Linked DNA regions of Oreochromis niloticus. The protein of the gene in region 1 purifies or fractionates together with the protein of each later gene. This does not show direct contact. Links are inferred from orthologs where the notes say so. Each region holds a gene or a part of one and is shown in the gene's direction. Other genes may lie near its edges.

Evidence for each region. Proteins that work in one complex are often made in the same cells at the same time.
Region 2: the proteins of haus5 (region 1) and haus2 purify together in Homo sapiens (affinity purification with mass spectrometry; 5 studies listed by BioGRID and IntAct, with this or other methods). This does not show direct contact. The link is inferred for Oreochromis niloticus from reciprocal best matches to the Homo sapiens genes HAUS5 and HAUS2.

What each region holds. Positions count from the first base shown.
Region 1 is NC_031986.2:44,252,350-44,259,501, reverse strand, and holds the start of haus5 (HAUS augmin-like complex subunit 5), read left to right. Parts: upstream 1-4,117; 5' UTR 4,118-4,278; intron 4,279-4,372; 5' UTR 4,373-4,404; coding exon 4,405-4,502; intron 4,503-4,584; coding exon 4,585-4,647; intron 4,648-4,844; coding exon 4,845-4,877; intron 4,878-5,003; coding exon 5,004-5,028; intron 5,029-5,153; coding exon 5,154-5,277; intron 5,278-5,777; coding exon 5,778-5,937; intron 5,938-6,028; coding exon 6,029-6,122; intron 6,123-6,443; coding exon 6,444-6,535; intron 6,536-6,618; coding exon 6,619-6,673; intron 6,674-6,778; coding exon 6,779-6,906; intron 6,907-7,006; coding exon 7,007-7,088; intron 7,089-7,152. Other genes in the region: fizzy-related protein homolog, read left to right, coding at 1-15, 114-347, 2,081-2,185, 2,277-2,369, 2,456-2,497.
Region 2 is NC_031983.2:29,704,897-29,712,861, forward strand, and holds haus2 (HAUS augmin-like complex subunit 2), read left to right. Parts: upstream 1-4,894; 5' UTR 4,895-5,043; intron 5,044-5,332; coding exon 5,333-5,419; intron 5,420-5,600; coding exon 5,601-5,699; intron 5,700-6,652; coding exon 6,653-6,722; intron 6,723-6,874; coding exon 6,875-7,007; intron 7,008-7,078; coding exon 7,079-7,187; intron 7,188-7,727; coding exon 7,728-7,841; 3' UTR 7,842-7,912; downstream 7,913-7,965. Other genes in the region: lrrc57 (leucine-rich repeat-containing protein 57), read right to left, coding at 326-367, 454-639, 944-1,212, 1,465-1,600, 2,863-2,946.

The sequences.
Region 1 (7,152 bases):
GGCAATGACAACAAGGTAGAGGTTTTTTAATTTTTTGTAATATTTAATCAAGCACACCGACTGTATGGATTTGCTTTGCTCACTGATGATGAGTGTGCGGTTTGTGGTCTTAGCTGTTGGTGTGGAACCACTCGTCGCTCAGTCCCGTGCAGACGTACACCGATCACCTGGCTGCAGTTAAAGCCATCGCCTGGTCCCCCCATCAGCACGGCCTGCTTGCCTCGGGCGGCGGCACCGCCGACCGCTGCATTCGATTTTGGAATACCCTGACATCGCAGCCGCTGCAGTGTATGGACACCGGCTCTCAGGTCTGCAACCTGGCCTGGTCCAAACATGCTAATGAGCTGGTAAGAGACCCCACATCCACAGTGGATTTGCTGTCCGTGGATTTATTACCATTTGTAATTGTAAAGACACTGATTAAAATTGTAGGTCAGCAGCGATACGTTAAGAGCTCTTTTTGAAGTTGATTGAATACATGTATACATGTACAGAGCTGTTCTGATTGGCCAGCTCCAGGGGCTTCTGCATGGATCGACCTCAGCTCTATGATCATGAGTGAGAGAGATTAAAACTCAAAACTCTGTTTCGTTGCATGCAGAATTAGCGTAAACCTACGAGTGCAGAATGAATCCCGTTTTGTGTGTTTTATTGAAAATGACAAACTTCAGAATTAAGAATAGCTGTAAAATTACTGATTTGTTGTTGCTGGGCCCAAGACTGGCAAGTAGGTGAGTCTTACTGTCATATAAGGTAACTGTCATGTTTGATTTAATGTGAACTTTAAATACACAAATAAAGAGATTAATCATTTTGTATTAGTGATGAGCAGGATGACAGATTCTGTCAGGCAGGAGTCTCATACCTTATTCTTCATCAGTCATACTCTTTATAAAGGACGTGATTTATATCTTTAGTGATTTTTTTATTTATTTATTTTTCCCCCCCCTACCCCACTCGATCACTGACTCTTCAGATATCTTCTGGGGGGAAGATGGATGGAGCATGCTAATCATCTTTCCAGCCCTCTTAATGACATTTTGAATTTGTGATCCGAGTTTGACACAAAGGTTCTCCGTTATGGAGAATGGGTTCAACAGTTACCCCATAAAACGGTAACATAATGGTTTGGACATGTGCAGAGGGAAGGATAGTGGAAGACTACAGAGAAGGTTCGTGGATGCAGTGAAGGAGGAAATGCAGAGGGTTGGTGCGACAGAGGAGGATGCTGGGGATAGGCTGAGATGGAGGCAGATGATCTGCTGTGGCGACCCCGAGAGAAAGAAGAGGTTTTCAAAGATTAATCTCTCTGTTAGTTCAGCTATATCGCCTTTACATACTGTGATGGCCAAACCCATGACTGCATTATAAAAGTCGGTAACTCTTATGTATTCTTTATTTCTTTATTCAAAATAACACACTTTAGTTTGCAGTAAGTTTATTGTTTGGTTTGGATACATTTGTTTGTAAGCGCACACATTTAGTTTACTTATGTATTTATACCAATTCACTCTGATTCTTGGTTTGATTTTTGTATAATCTTTGTCTGGCCACTCCCAGAGATCGTGGCAGGTAAGAAACAGGTAAAGGAAACAAAAGCAGTGAAATGCATAGAGGGGATGATTGGACCGCACCACCACTTCCTGCTGAAGGGGGAGAATGTGTGTTTTCTGTAATTAAATGTTTGAGTTTAGGGTTTAGTTGTTTTGATTTTCTTCTTTGGTGTTTAGTTTATTAACAAACTAGACTGTGCTGCATCGTCTTTGTGGTTTATGACTGTGTTTTGTTTACTTACTCCTGTTGTGTCATAGTGATCTGATCAGCTGTTATGTGTGTCATTTCCTGTTTAGGTCAGTTATGTTTGTTTGGTTTGTTGAGGTCACAGTTCACCGTTTCTTTGAACTCTTTCATGAGCTCAACATTTACTGTTTGTAAATAGAATTTTTTGGGTTAAATAAATGAAAACCCATTTTCTGATCATTCCTGTGACTCCTGCTTTTTCAGCTCGGTCCATCACACATACACAAACGAGTTCACTGTTAAAAGCAACAAAAAGCAAACAAATGCTTTTCTTTTTCAGGTAAGCACCCACGGATACTCTCAGAATCAAATCTTGGTGTGGAAATATCCAGCTCTCACTCAGGTGGCCAAGCTTACAGGACACTCCTACCGAGTGCTCTACCTGGTCAGTCTGGTTTGTTTGTTTTTTTCTCCATTGATAATATAAATAAGAACATTATTAAGATAAAATTCTAATGACTTGTTGTACTCTTTAGGCCATGTCTCCAGACGGTGAGGCGATTGTGACGGGAGCTGGAGACGAGACGTTACGCTTCTGGAACGTTTTCAATAAAACGCGCTCGACAAAGGTGAGAACGCATTAACAACAACCCCCCCCGCCCATTTTAATACCTGCTGAAAACATTAACCAAGTTTCTTCATTTTTTTGTTTCAGGAATCTGTATCAGTTTTAAATCTCTTTAAGAAGATACGGTGACTTCAAGCACCTTTTTAAAAAGAAATAAAATCCTGCCATCATCGGCGGATAGCTCATCCGCCTGGTGCTAAAGACATACAGTACAATCAGAGGCTTATTGTGAGTGTTCTTTTCACAAAGGGAATGACGGCAACACCTAGCTTTATTTTTTTAAATTGTGTGAAAAATTCTTTTGCACCTGCTGTGAATGTATTATTTTTATTATATGCTTAAAAAATGTAAAAGTGGGTGTTTTTTGTTTTATTTAAACTTTTGTCAGTATACAAAACTAGAAATCACAAGCCTTAAGAATATTGATATCATCTGAAATGTGTTTTGTTTACCTCATCTTTAATTTATTTAACATACTTATTATACAACAGACATTCAGAGACTTATTTTTACACCATTTCTCATAGGATGGAAGTTTGGAGTGATTTAATGACATGTTATACTATGAGTAAATTAAAAAAAAACAAACAAACAAAAAAAACCAAGCACCATGATTATTGTGACCTTTGGACTGTGGTTGAGAGGAGGTGACTGAATACAAAAAAGTCTAATGCTGTGCATTTAGACGTCTGCTGAATTGCTGATTATTTGCAGTAAAACAAATAAAAGAGCCACTTTCTGACTTTGTGTATATTTATTTATTTCACAACTTGTACAGCATGGATGGAAAACCCGCTAATGCATTCAGAATTGTTATAATTTCTTTGCGGCATAAATTGAACAAGCTACTGGAAACATTCCTCAGAGATTCTGGTAAACTTGTTGCAGTGTTTAAGAAAAAACAGTTTTAGATCATTCGAGTTTTGTGATGTGGCACGTTATCCTCCCCAGAAGCAACCATCAGAAGATGAGTACACTGTGGTCATAAGGGAATATGGTCAGCAGCAGAACTCAGGTAGGCTGTCGCATTTAAGTGATGCTCAGCTGATACTTCTGGATCCGGTGTGCCGAGATGATATTCCTCACACCATCACACCATCATCAACCAGCCTGAACCACTCGCGCAGGGCAGGGTGATGCCATGCTTTCATGTTGTTTGCATCAAACTGGCTTTACCGTGTGAATGTGAAAGCAAAAATTAAGCCTGATCAGACCGGACAAAGTTTTACCAAGCTTTTGTTGTTCACGTTTGATGAGCCAGTATGAATTAAAGCCTCAATTTCTTGTTCCTGGCTGATGGGCACATAGTATGGTCTTCTGCTGCTGTAGCTCATCTGCATTCAAAGGTGCTCTTCTGCATCCCTTGGGTGAAACGAGTTGTATTCCCTTGACCTCTAACATCAACACGGCAAATTCAAAGTCACTTAAATCGCCTTTCATCTCCATTCTGATGCTTGGTTTGAACTTCAGCAGGTTGTCATGAGCATGTATATATGCCAAATATCCCTGATTAGATGCCATGTGATTAGCACATTAGATTCTTGGGTTAAACAGTGCAATAAATAACATGACAAACAACATCTTTTAAATCATCTCCACATTTAAAAATAAAAAAATGAATATTGGCTTCTGGATCATTACATGATTTTCATCATGTGAGATATTTGTGTAAAATCAAAGCTAAGGCACAGTCTGTGCTGATGACAGCAAATGGCTGTAGTTGTGATTGCTCTCCAAGCCAGCAGGTGGCGGTACTTCTCCTTTTCCTCTTCCTCTGTGGTCGTTAATCGGAAATGCTGTTGACAGGCGGGAACTTGAAAGTTTGAGTAGGTTTAGGTTAAAAAATATTCCCGTGTGAGCACCGTAACCTGTTTTTATTGAATTAAAGAGGCATCTTTCGTGGGAGCACGGTAAGTTGGAGGGACATCTGTGAATTACGTGCACTCATTAAGCTAACTACGCTGGCTGATGATAATAGTCTCCTGTTGTTGTTTCTCGCTTTAGCTGTAGCTCGTTACCAGCTGTTATTTGTCAGGATGGCAGACAGAAATCTTGTTCAGGACTTGAAACGCTGGGCGACAGAGGAGTTTGGGCTGTCCCCGGACAGACTGCCTAATGACAGCTATTTTAAAACGTAGGTATCTACACTTATGTTACCTGTCATCAATGTTATTACCTAACTTTTTAGCCTTGAACTAATGTTGATTGTTTTCCAGACTCTGTGTTGGGACGGGGAAGTCGATATGGAAATATGTCATCCAGCATGTTTTCCAGCAAAGGTGAGACTTTGTTCTCGCTTGCTTTTTGTTTTTGTTTTTAAACCTTTTGATCACTAAATTATAACTAGAACACGGCTCATTTCCTGTCCTCAAACATTTACTCAGGACTCTGGTTCATTACAAAAGAAAAAACATTTGCATGAATGGCCTGTTTTCTAAAATAAACTGCAATCTCTGACTGATTTCTGTCTTTTTAGGAATGTGAGGATCATGCGTGGCAATCTTCAGTGGTATCCTTTTTGGTCTTGACTTGATCTGCAAAGCTTCCAGCTTCTTTCCAACAGACTTTCTTTGTTTTGTTTTCTTTGCCTTTCTTTGTTATTTATTTGCTCTGTTATCCTTGACATTGTTATTAGGTATAAATCGCTTCAAGACAAAGAGGTAGGCTGCAACTTATTTCTTTTCCCCAGCAGTTGTAATTTAGTTTAATTGTTAGTGATTGCACTTCACAAAGGGGAGTTTCTGTAAAAGCTATGTTTGTGTTTACTGGTGTGCGGTCTTGTCAGGCTGAGGGCCAGAGTGAGGCTGCAAAGCGTAAAGATCTCCAGAAGAAGATAGAGCAGCTGAAAGAAGAGATTAGTCACCTGGACTCTCAGATGAGCGTTACAGAGGAGCAGATGGCCACACAAGGTTAGTCCAACATATGTACTGTGGGCTGGACTTCCAGCCATCCCTCCATAATTTTCCTCCAGTCAGGGTTGTGAGGGGACTGGAGCCTATCCTGCTGAGTGACACGCAGTGCACATTAGACACTAACACAAAGACCGTGCATGTCTTTGGACTTGGCAGGACTCATTTGGGAATAACTGTGTTAACACAGTTTTGTTTTAAAACACCTATGAATTTGATGTGTTGTCACTACTTTGATTAGAGGCAAACATGTCTGATGTTGTGTATATGGTTTCTTTAAAAATGTACTGAGTTGCACCTTGTGATTGTTTTCTTATATAAAGATAAAATAATTAAAGTTAAAATGAGAGAAGTTCTGAAAAAATATCTTTTTCACACATTTCACATGGTGACAAGTTCAGCTCAAATATATTAGTTATACCACAAAGGGCTGAAAAGGTTTTTGTCTACTATTTTGCCATTTGCGTTTAATAGCTGCATTTTCTGCTGTGATTACACAGACAACTCTATCAGTCGAACCTGGGCCCAGGTGGAAGACGGCCAACGCAGAGAGCTGCTGCTTCAGGCTTTCAGGCAGCGCTGCATCTCAAGCCGCAAATATCTTTCTGATGATGTGCAACAGATCAGTGTGCACTGCCAGGCTCTGGAACAGATGGCCAGGTAAGGCAGAACATTTACTAATACATTTTAAGTGAAAAAGAGACGCAATACCTTTTACACATTTTTCTTTTTGTGTGTGTGTTTATTGCAGAAAAGCAGAAATTGAAGTGCTGTTTGATAAATCTTCTTGCAACAGAGACAATGACAACCTCAATGTCAAAGTGGCAACAGAGGCACAAGTTCTGGTAAAACATGCCCGAATCTGTGTTTTACTTAAGTTTAAAATTTAGAATGTTTATCAGACAGAAATAGCAAATACAGCCGCTTTGGAGGCTCTGTGTATAGCCGCTCTGTGTGTTTTCTATCCATCAGACAGACATTCAGACTTGGGGCCAATTTATAGTTACCAGTTAACCCAACATTACTTCACCTAACCTTACCTAATGTATGCTGGGAGAAATTTTAACATTCGCACAAATCTGGAATTAGTTGCTTACCGAGGCAACTGTAGCATATCAGCTGCTGACTTCATGAAATCATTCATTACCTTTGTTTTCTTTCTTTAGCGTGATGTGAGAGAGCTGTGTGACGACAGGGTCCACTTCTATCAGTCTTTACAAGAGTGTGAATCGAAAACACAGCACTCTGCAGCCACACAGTAAGGACCACAGACTGTACTCGATTTAAGTTATTCAGCTTTTAAAATGTATTTATTTTTGTGTTTGTTTGTTTTCCCTGTAGTATGACCCGTGAGCAGAGGACTGCTGTATTCCAGTACTGGCTGAGTGCTGTTGAGGTTGGTGTGTTTGTGTCTGATTTTACAAAATATTTTTGTATTTGTGTTAACATTGTCTTTAATTTTGACTTTGCATTAATATGCTGTTGCTTGTTGTGTCACCAGAACATGTTGGGTGCTTACCCTCCAAACCATGTTCTATCAGCGCTGCTGTATTTGGCTTCAAGAGAGCAGAAGGTATTGGAGGAGAAACTGTCGTCTCTGGACGTGACACGGGATGTAACAGCTCTGCAGTAAGGCAGTGATTGGGATCTTTCATTTCACGTCATGCTTCAAGATTTCCGATTTTCAGTGTAATGCATTTTTAAAATTTATTTGTTTTTTGGCATGCAGGTTCCGCTATGAAAGCGACCACCTTCTGGATATGTCAGCAGAAGAGGAAAATGAGTTACCACCAGTTAAAACCCTCTTAGAGGTGCGGTCACATTGCAGTATACCAACAGAAACGCAGATGAAACCATGTTCACACCCCCTGTTAA
Region 2 (7,965 bases), on another chromosome or scaffold:
TTTTACAAAGCATGTTTCTACATGGTTAACTAAACATTTCCACTTTTTCTCTGTCCATAACTGAGTGAACAATAAAGTTTGATGCAGTCAAACATGGCACCGGTCCTCTTCTTCAGTGTCGTGAAACCTGTCCTGTCTCCATGGTGACTGTTGCTCTGGAGGTTCGGATTTCTGGGGGCGCTGTGAGGAGTCCCGGCTGCTGAAGTCTGGTTTCTAGCAGCAGCAGAAGCAGCAGCTGTGGGAAGTGCAGGGTAAGAGGGGCGGGGCTTCAGCCGAGCTCGCCTCCAGGTGAACCTCACAGATCCAGACTCTACATCGAAGGTCCTCAGGCAAACTTCTTCTTTGTGGCCGTGAAACGCTCCATGTACTGAGGAGGAAAAGCAGAGTGTCATCAGGGACCGCAGGAGGACTCGCAGTCTTGGACTCGATCTGGTCTCAGACCGCAGCACTGACCTTATCGTATCCCTCCAGGTCCCGGAGTCTCTTCACCTCAAACAGGTTTCCCTCCACCGAGAACAGGGACACCTGGGACTCGGTCAGGATGGACTGAGGGATGGAGGAGAGCTCCAGGCAGTTCTCCTCCAGGCGGAGGACCTTCAGACGGGGACAGCGGGAGACCTCCGCCGACACCACCGAGATCTGGACCAAGAACAGAGGACCGGGTTAGTACAGAGGAACACCACCAGACCTGGGCTGGGATTATCAGAACCTCCTGGGAAGTCTGAGGGATAGAAAGCTGCAGTAGATGTCATGGAGTGACCGATCAGTGATTATTGATAACCGATTGATTAAGCACCTTGGGGCGACTGTTGTAGTGATTTGGTGCTATATAAATAAAACTGATCTTTAATACTGGGTGAATTAACAGCACAGGGTCAGCCCTTTCAGGTTTTCCTCCTGGTTCTGGTTCTTTGGTGGACTGACAGACCTGGTTCTGCAGTACCTGGTTCTGGTTGAGGTTGATCTCGATGGCCTGCAGCTCGGACACCTCTTCAGGGACGTTCTGGATCTTGTTTCGGGACAGGTCCAGCAAGTCCAGCTGCCTCAACGTTCCGAGTCCGGAGGGGAACTCTGAAATCTGGTTCCCGGCCAGGCTGAGGGTCCGCAGGGCTTTGAGCTGGCCCAGTGTGGGGGGCAGCTGCTGGATCCGGTTTCCATTCAGACTCAGGGTCTCCAGCTTCTTCAGCTTCCCAATCTCAGAGGGAATCCCGACTAAAAACAGAACCACAACACAACAGGGTCTCACAGGTCTGAGGGTCGGGGAGGCTCCGGTTTGTTCTGCAGCTAAACCGGATCTAAAGACACACACAGTCCGGGGATTTTTAAATCATTCCAACCCTAAATTAAACTAAAAAAAAGCATCCAAAGAGAACAAATCAAATGCTGAAACAAGAATGTGGTTGCTTTTTGTTTGGCTTTAAAACACAGATGTAAAGGCATAACTGCTCCGGGTCGAACACTCACCGAGCCGGTTAGAGTTCAGCGTCAGACTCTTGAGCTGAGGGAAGTTTCCGATGGTGGTAGGAAGGACCTCTATCTTGTTCCCGGACAGATCCACCGTCCTCAGGTTGGCCGTGAGCCTCTGCAGCTCCTCTGGAAACTGAAAGCAGACCGTGACCAGGACAGGCAACTCAGGACAGGCGACTCGGGACGCCCTCGGTTTTGTATAGGTTAAGCTTGCTATGATCAGGCCCTGGGGTGTCACACTCTAATGGTGGCAAGTGTGCGCCTACATGCTGCAGCTCGGAGCTCTCCAGTTCTGTGGGTTTTTTTTTTTTTTTTCATTTTGTGTTTTTTGCTTTGTGATTTAGACAAAAACAAATGAGGATGTGCCAGATCGCTCACCCACAAGATGGACGAAATCGAACCGCAGCTGGCCACCAACAGACTTGTCTGAAACTGCTGTGCAACGGAAACACGGCTCCCGATGCTACTGGACTGGACTCTCCATCATCAGGACCACATAAAGAGTCAGGAAAGAACCGAGCGGAGGACTCTGCATCGTCACACATAACAACTGGTGCACACACAGCTGAGTCCTCGACAGCTTCAGTTCCCCGGACTTATCCTCTGTCAAGTCGGCTGCAGAGCTTTTACAGCAGTGCACATAGCTCCTGTTGCTAAGGTCAGCATGGCTCTAAGCCAGCTGCACAGTACCAACAGATGCAGATACATCCGGATCGGGCCGTCATCACTGCTGGTGATTTTAACAACTGCTTAAAGACAGTTCCTGACTTCTCACAGTAGGTGGAAAGTGCCACCAAAGGGAAAAACACAGCAGGCCATCTTCTCTGTACATCAATGGAGACTGTGTGGACAGGATCCAGGATTCCTGACTCCCAGGAACCCACACAGGAGCATCTCCTGGACTGCCCACACCAACACCACTGTGAAGAAAGCTCAGCGGGCCCGCACTTCCTGAGGAGAAACAGGCTACAGACAAAACTCGAATCCTTCTACCACTCCACCATAGAAGGGCTGCTGTCATATTGTATCACAAGCTCCTCACAAAAATAGACTCCAACGCATCATAAAGACAGCACAAAAAAGTTACAGGGCCCAGCTCCCACCCCTTCAGCGAATCGCAGATAAACACCATCTGGTCAGGTGTATAAAAGGCGATCACCTGCTTTATCACCTGATTTATTCATTGCTTACATGTGTGAACACGTGTCTCTGTGTGTTTGTTCTCCATCCCAGTGATGCCACTCCAGTTTCATGCAATGACAGTAAAGGCTCCGAACTGAAAGGAGAACTGTCCAATCATAGGGTGCCCGGACTGAAACGTCTGACGCGTCAAACATGTGTTTAAATCTTTCTGTGTATGTGTGTAAGTTAACTCTGGAGTTTTGCTCCTCTCACCTCCTGCAGACCTTTCCCCGTCAGCTGAAACACTCCCGTCTTCTGGGAGGTTTCAAGGTGAGACTTCAGCGCACTGTTCCCCATCTGCACCTGTAGCCAGGTACCAGCCCTCCACTTGCAGGGCCACCCGAAGTCCTTCCAGACAGGCTGATGGATCAGCTGACAGCCGTATCAGCGCTCCTCCTCCTCCTCGTCAGCAGGTGTTGATGAGATCAGATAGTGAATCCCTGCAGGTGAGCAGTCCTCTCTCACAGACCTGTGAACATGTTTGTGTTTATTAGTGAGATTGGAACAGAGGCGGCGTACAGCTGTTTCACTCTGACTGAAGAACAAAGTGAATATTCAGAGAAAAGCTCTGCATGGGCTGCTGGTGAGCTCACAGACGTGCTTTGTCTCCATGTCCCGCAGCATCGTGCCAACGTAAGGCTCCGAGTTTGGGTTGAAATCCCTGATTGTTTTCTCTAAGCGACCCGTCCTGAGCCGAGGGAAACGGTATCAATATCCACCTGTGCTGGGCGGCGTAGGATTTAAACTTTTTCTCATGTTGATGCACAGATGAGCAGATCAAACACCCCCAGTGGATTAAAGGTGTTTAATAACAAAGAAGACCTGTAATAACTCATTCACATTAATAATCCTCAGCTAACTAACATACAAACCATTAGCATCGTTAATAACTGCACTTCACCAAGCACCACACTGACTCTGACAGGCAAGTCTCCCTAAATTTACAACATTAATCTTATAAATTTGCCACTAGGGGCGATCGTGGCTCAATGGTTGGCAGTTCGTCTTGTAATCAGAAGGTTGGGCAAGACACTTCACCCGTTGCCTACTGGTGGTGGTCATAGGGCCCGGTGGCGCCAGTGTCCGGCAGCCTCGCCTCTGTCAGTGTGCCCCAGGGTGGCTGTGGCTACAATGTAGCTTGCCATCACCTGTGTGTGAATGTGTGTGTGAATGGGTGGATGACTAAATGTAGTATAAAGCGCTTTGGGGTCCATAGGGACTAAGTAAAGAGCTATACAAATACAGGCTATTTACTATTTTAACTTTATCCCAAATTGACCATCAGTGGTCCTAACCCAGCTTTGTTACTCATGAGTGTGCATCAGCCAAAGAGGGAACAAACCGGACTTACCATTGGCTTTCTACAGCACACCCCAGTAATGTGTAAAATGCATTAGTGTTGAAGCCTGAGCTCAGTAAACACACCTGTGGAAAACCCTCCTCCTCTGTAGTGTTGAACACACCTGCAGTTCTCCACAGTCACCACAGGGGCCGCCAAATCCCCCAAACTGAGGCGTTCCAGATCAATGCTGTGGCAACAGAGAGCGGTTTCAGCTTTAAGGTGGACTTTAAAAGGTATTTAAGGTGGTCAGTTTCTTGCAGCGGGGCAGCCTGAGGCACTAGCTGACATGCACGCACGCGCTCACACGCACACACACCTGTCTCTCTGCAGCAGGCAAAAGCTCACCCTTCAGCTGTCACAGGTGGTAAAGGTGAGTCACGTGTTTACCTGAGAGGTGACACACTCACCGTCAGCAGCCTAATCGGTCCCAGTCTCTCCTCACTGTAAACACACTGTAAACACACTGTAAACATTAAGGCCACCGCCACCCTGCTAACAGCTGAGATAACCGGAAACGGCTCTGTTTACATACCGACACAATGTCGCCCTTTAACCCCCGTGTGCAAGTGTCGCGTGTCCAGGTGCTGTGCTTAATTTTATCCGATAAAAGGACAAAAAAAATTAAGATCAGTAGAAAAGTGAAGCTCGGCAGCCGCCCTGATTCTGCGCTCCTGCTTCTGCTGCTTCTTCTTCTTCTTCTTCTTCTCTGCTGAAAATCCCGCTCAGGGCTGCAACGCTGCCACCTGCTGACAGATGTCACTCAAACCCTGAACGACATTCTTCTTGTCATGTGACCTCAGCAGGCTGTGAGGTCAGATTTGGATCCAGGATTAGGCAGAAAGAGACGTTTTTTGTTTGTACACAAACAGAAACGCGATTATTTTCTGTAACTATGTGTTGTAGTTCTCTCTGGATCCTGAGGGGTCGCTGTTGCGGTCAGCAGCCGCCAAACGTTTTCGCAGAAGAAGAGAAACAGCAAAAACAAACCGGCGGGCGGGCTCCGGTGAGGTTCAGTTTGGTCGTCTTAGAGCGGAGGTTCTTTGGTTTTAACGGTAAGAAAAAGCTGGAAACTGACACTAGACTGTTTGTGTTTAACGGGACCGCCAGAGGCAGCTTAACGGTGCCGGTGTGTCCGTCAAAAAAGCCTTTAAAGCTGCTTCAAAGTCCGTTTAAAATTGTGGAGATTTAGTTTGATGGCGCTTGCCTTCACACGCAGAGCTGTGAGGTGGATCCCAGCAGGGTTCTGGTTCGGATAGATCCGGTTTTAGGTTTGAACACCTGGTCCAGGTGAATATCAGAGTCTGAGGCTGGTCTGGTTCAGGTGACGTTCCTGTCTTTCAGATGCATCAGTGGGATTTGTCTCCGTTCTCCGTGACTCCAGCTGCCAGCCTGCTTTCTAAGTGTGTCTCCGTGGGAGCGCTGTCTCAGGTAAGGACACGAACAGGTGTTTAGGAGGCTGAGGCGGTCTGTCAGAGCAGCTTTACACGGTTCAGAGATGTCTGAGGACAGGTTCAGATCTGAGTGAGAGCTGACCTGTGTGATCCGGTTCTGATCCAGACTAAAGCTTGTGAGTAAAATCTGAATCTGCTTCTGTCTCACCTGTCCTCAGGAGGAAATAGACTCCGCCTCCAGTGCTACAGGCCCCGTCTTTTCCTCTCATCTGCGGAAGGCTGAAGAGCAAATCAGAATGCAGAAGCAGTTGGATGAGGTATGTGCGTGCAGCTGTCTCGGGGATGGCGTGCTGGGATGTTATGTCAGAGTGCAGAGCCCCACCTGCTTCGATGCCTGAGCCGGATGTCGGCCAGATTGGATTTTGAAATTTTCTCATGAGAAACGTTGTTTTGCTCTCCTGCCTGCAGCTCAGAGTGGATGATGTCATTCTGGAGCGATGACATCATTCACTCTAAGCTGACTGCAGGCTGTTGCGCTGTGTCACCGTGAGAGACGGCCTCCGATGTGGGGCTGTTGGTGATCATGAGCACAGTCGTCATGTTTTTAAAGGCAGACTCAGAACCTCCACAGAGCAGCTTCATGGATCCTGGTGGCTCCGATTGGCTGCTCACAGCGCCTTCACTTTCTTGTTTTTCTTTTCTAGTCGTGGTTAGTTAATTAAACTTTGGATTGTGTGTCCTCTCCTTTGTTCAGAAAATGCTCATATTTACACTCTAATTACTAACTAGTCCTCTAACCCGCTGTAAGTCTCTCCTATTGGCTTCGTAACTAATCCTACATTTCTGCAGCTTTCAGACTAATCCACAGGGTAATGAAACCAGTAGGTAGTTTTGTATCTTGTAACTAGTCCTGTGGGTCACAGCGGGTCTATGCTAGTGTCTCCACAGCAGCAGTATCGCAGCGCTTTATTAATAAAGCCCTGTTTTGTACGTTGGCGTGCTGGGTGCGTCATTTATGAACACATGATCGTCTCGCCAAATGCTTCCCATCACAGAAACTCGGATCTGAGCACTGACTCCTTCAGGGCGTCAACTGCAGGCGGTGACAGGTGTGCGCTCGCTGTGGGTCCGGTCAGGTGAATGAGACGCTGTTGTGTGAATGAAACACCTTACCTGCAGGAGCTGTGTTAAACAACAGTGACTGCACTGGGGCTAGAAGTCATGTGACTGTGTCAGCTAACGTAAAGGTATTTGTTTCCTGTTGATGCAGATGCGGCTGCGGCTGGAGCTGCTGCAGGTTGACGAGCAAAGCGCCGATGTCGCCCACAGCTTCCACCTCGGTGAGTCCAGGTGATGTCATTGTCATCGGGTCGATGTTTTTAAACCAGCCTTCACTCCAGATCTTATTCTGAAGGGACTTTAAAGACTTCCTGTCAGAACGGAGGATGGCAGAGCCACGCCCCCTCTGATCAGGTGCTTTTGTGTCCTGCAGCTCGAAGGTTCCAGATGCTGCAGATGCTCGGGGATCACATGCAGGAGCTGCTGAGAGAGCAGAACAGTCTGAGGCAGCGACTCATGAGACCGCTGGCTCACACCAACCTGCCCGTGCACGCTCACCTGCACAGGTAATGCCTGATACTCTCAGCGTGATTGGAGTGGCCCATGGCGCACTGTAACGGTCTGTGGTGTGTTTCAGGTTCGTGGTGGAGTCCCTGAACCTGATGATGGACTTCATTGAGACTCTGGAGGAGAAGCTAAGCTCCGCCCACAGCAGGACCACAGCCAGAGACCGTCTCACTCTGCTGGTCAGTCACACGACCTCACTGGTTTGGGGATGGCAGTAGGCCACGCCCCTATGCAGACAAACTAAAGCCGTGTGCCACCGTTCATTTTAGACACCTGAGAGAATCTGTGTGTACCAGACTCCATTCACGAAAACAGGAAGTTTACCTGAGAGAACAGGTGAGCTTGTGTCACCCTGAGGTCTGAACTCATTAGTTTGGATCATCACAGTCAAACGCAAACGTTTGTTTTCTGTGAGCTAAAAACCGATGTTTTATGAATGGAGTCTGGTGGGTTTGTCATCAGCAGTGTGGGGTATTGTGCAGAAACAGGTCAGAAACGGGAGGCGGGGCTTGACTGAAACAACGCTTTGTGTGATTCAGCATCAAGCTTTATTGATAAAAACAAATTAGTATTGTTAACTGGGTTTGTCTCTTGGCTCCGCCCTTGGCCACCTCCCTGTTCATGGTCATTTCCTATCAGTCCCTCACACACTAAATAGCGTCCTCCGATTGACTGCAGAGTTCATCCCAGTTCAACTGTTACCTCTCCCACTCTCTCAGGACTCCTCGCACGCCCAGCTGCTGATGCAGGCCTCAGAGATGGAGACTTTGTCCAGTCAGATTCTTCAGTGGAAGTCAGTTGATGGATGCAGCCTGGTGACCTCTGACCCTTAACCTTCATCATGTGTTGCACTTTGAATTTATTCTAATAAATGTTTGCAATAAAATCTTTCACATTTTCCATATGCAGCTTCTGATTGGTTATTCAACACAGAAACAAGGTAACCTTTGACCTCTG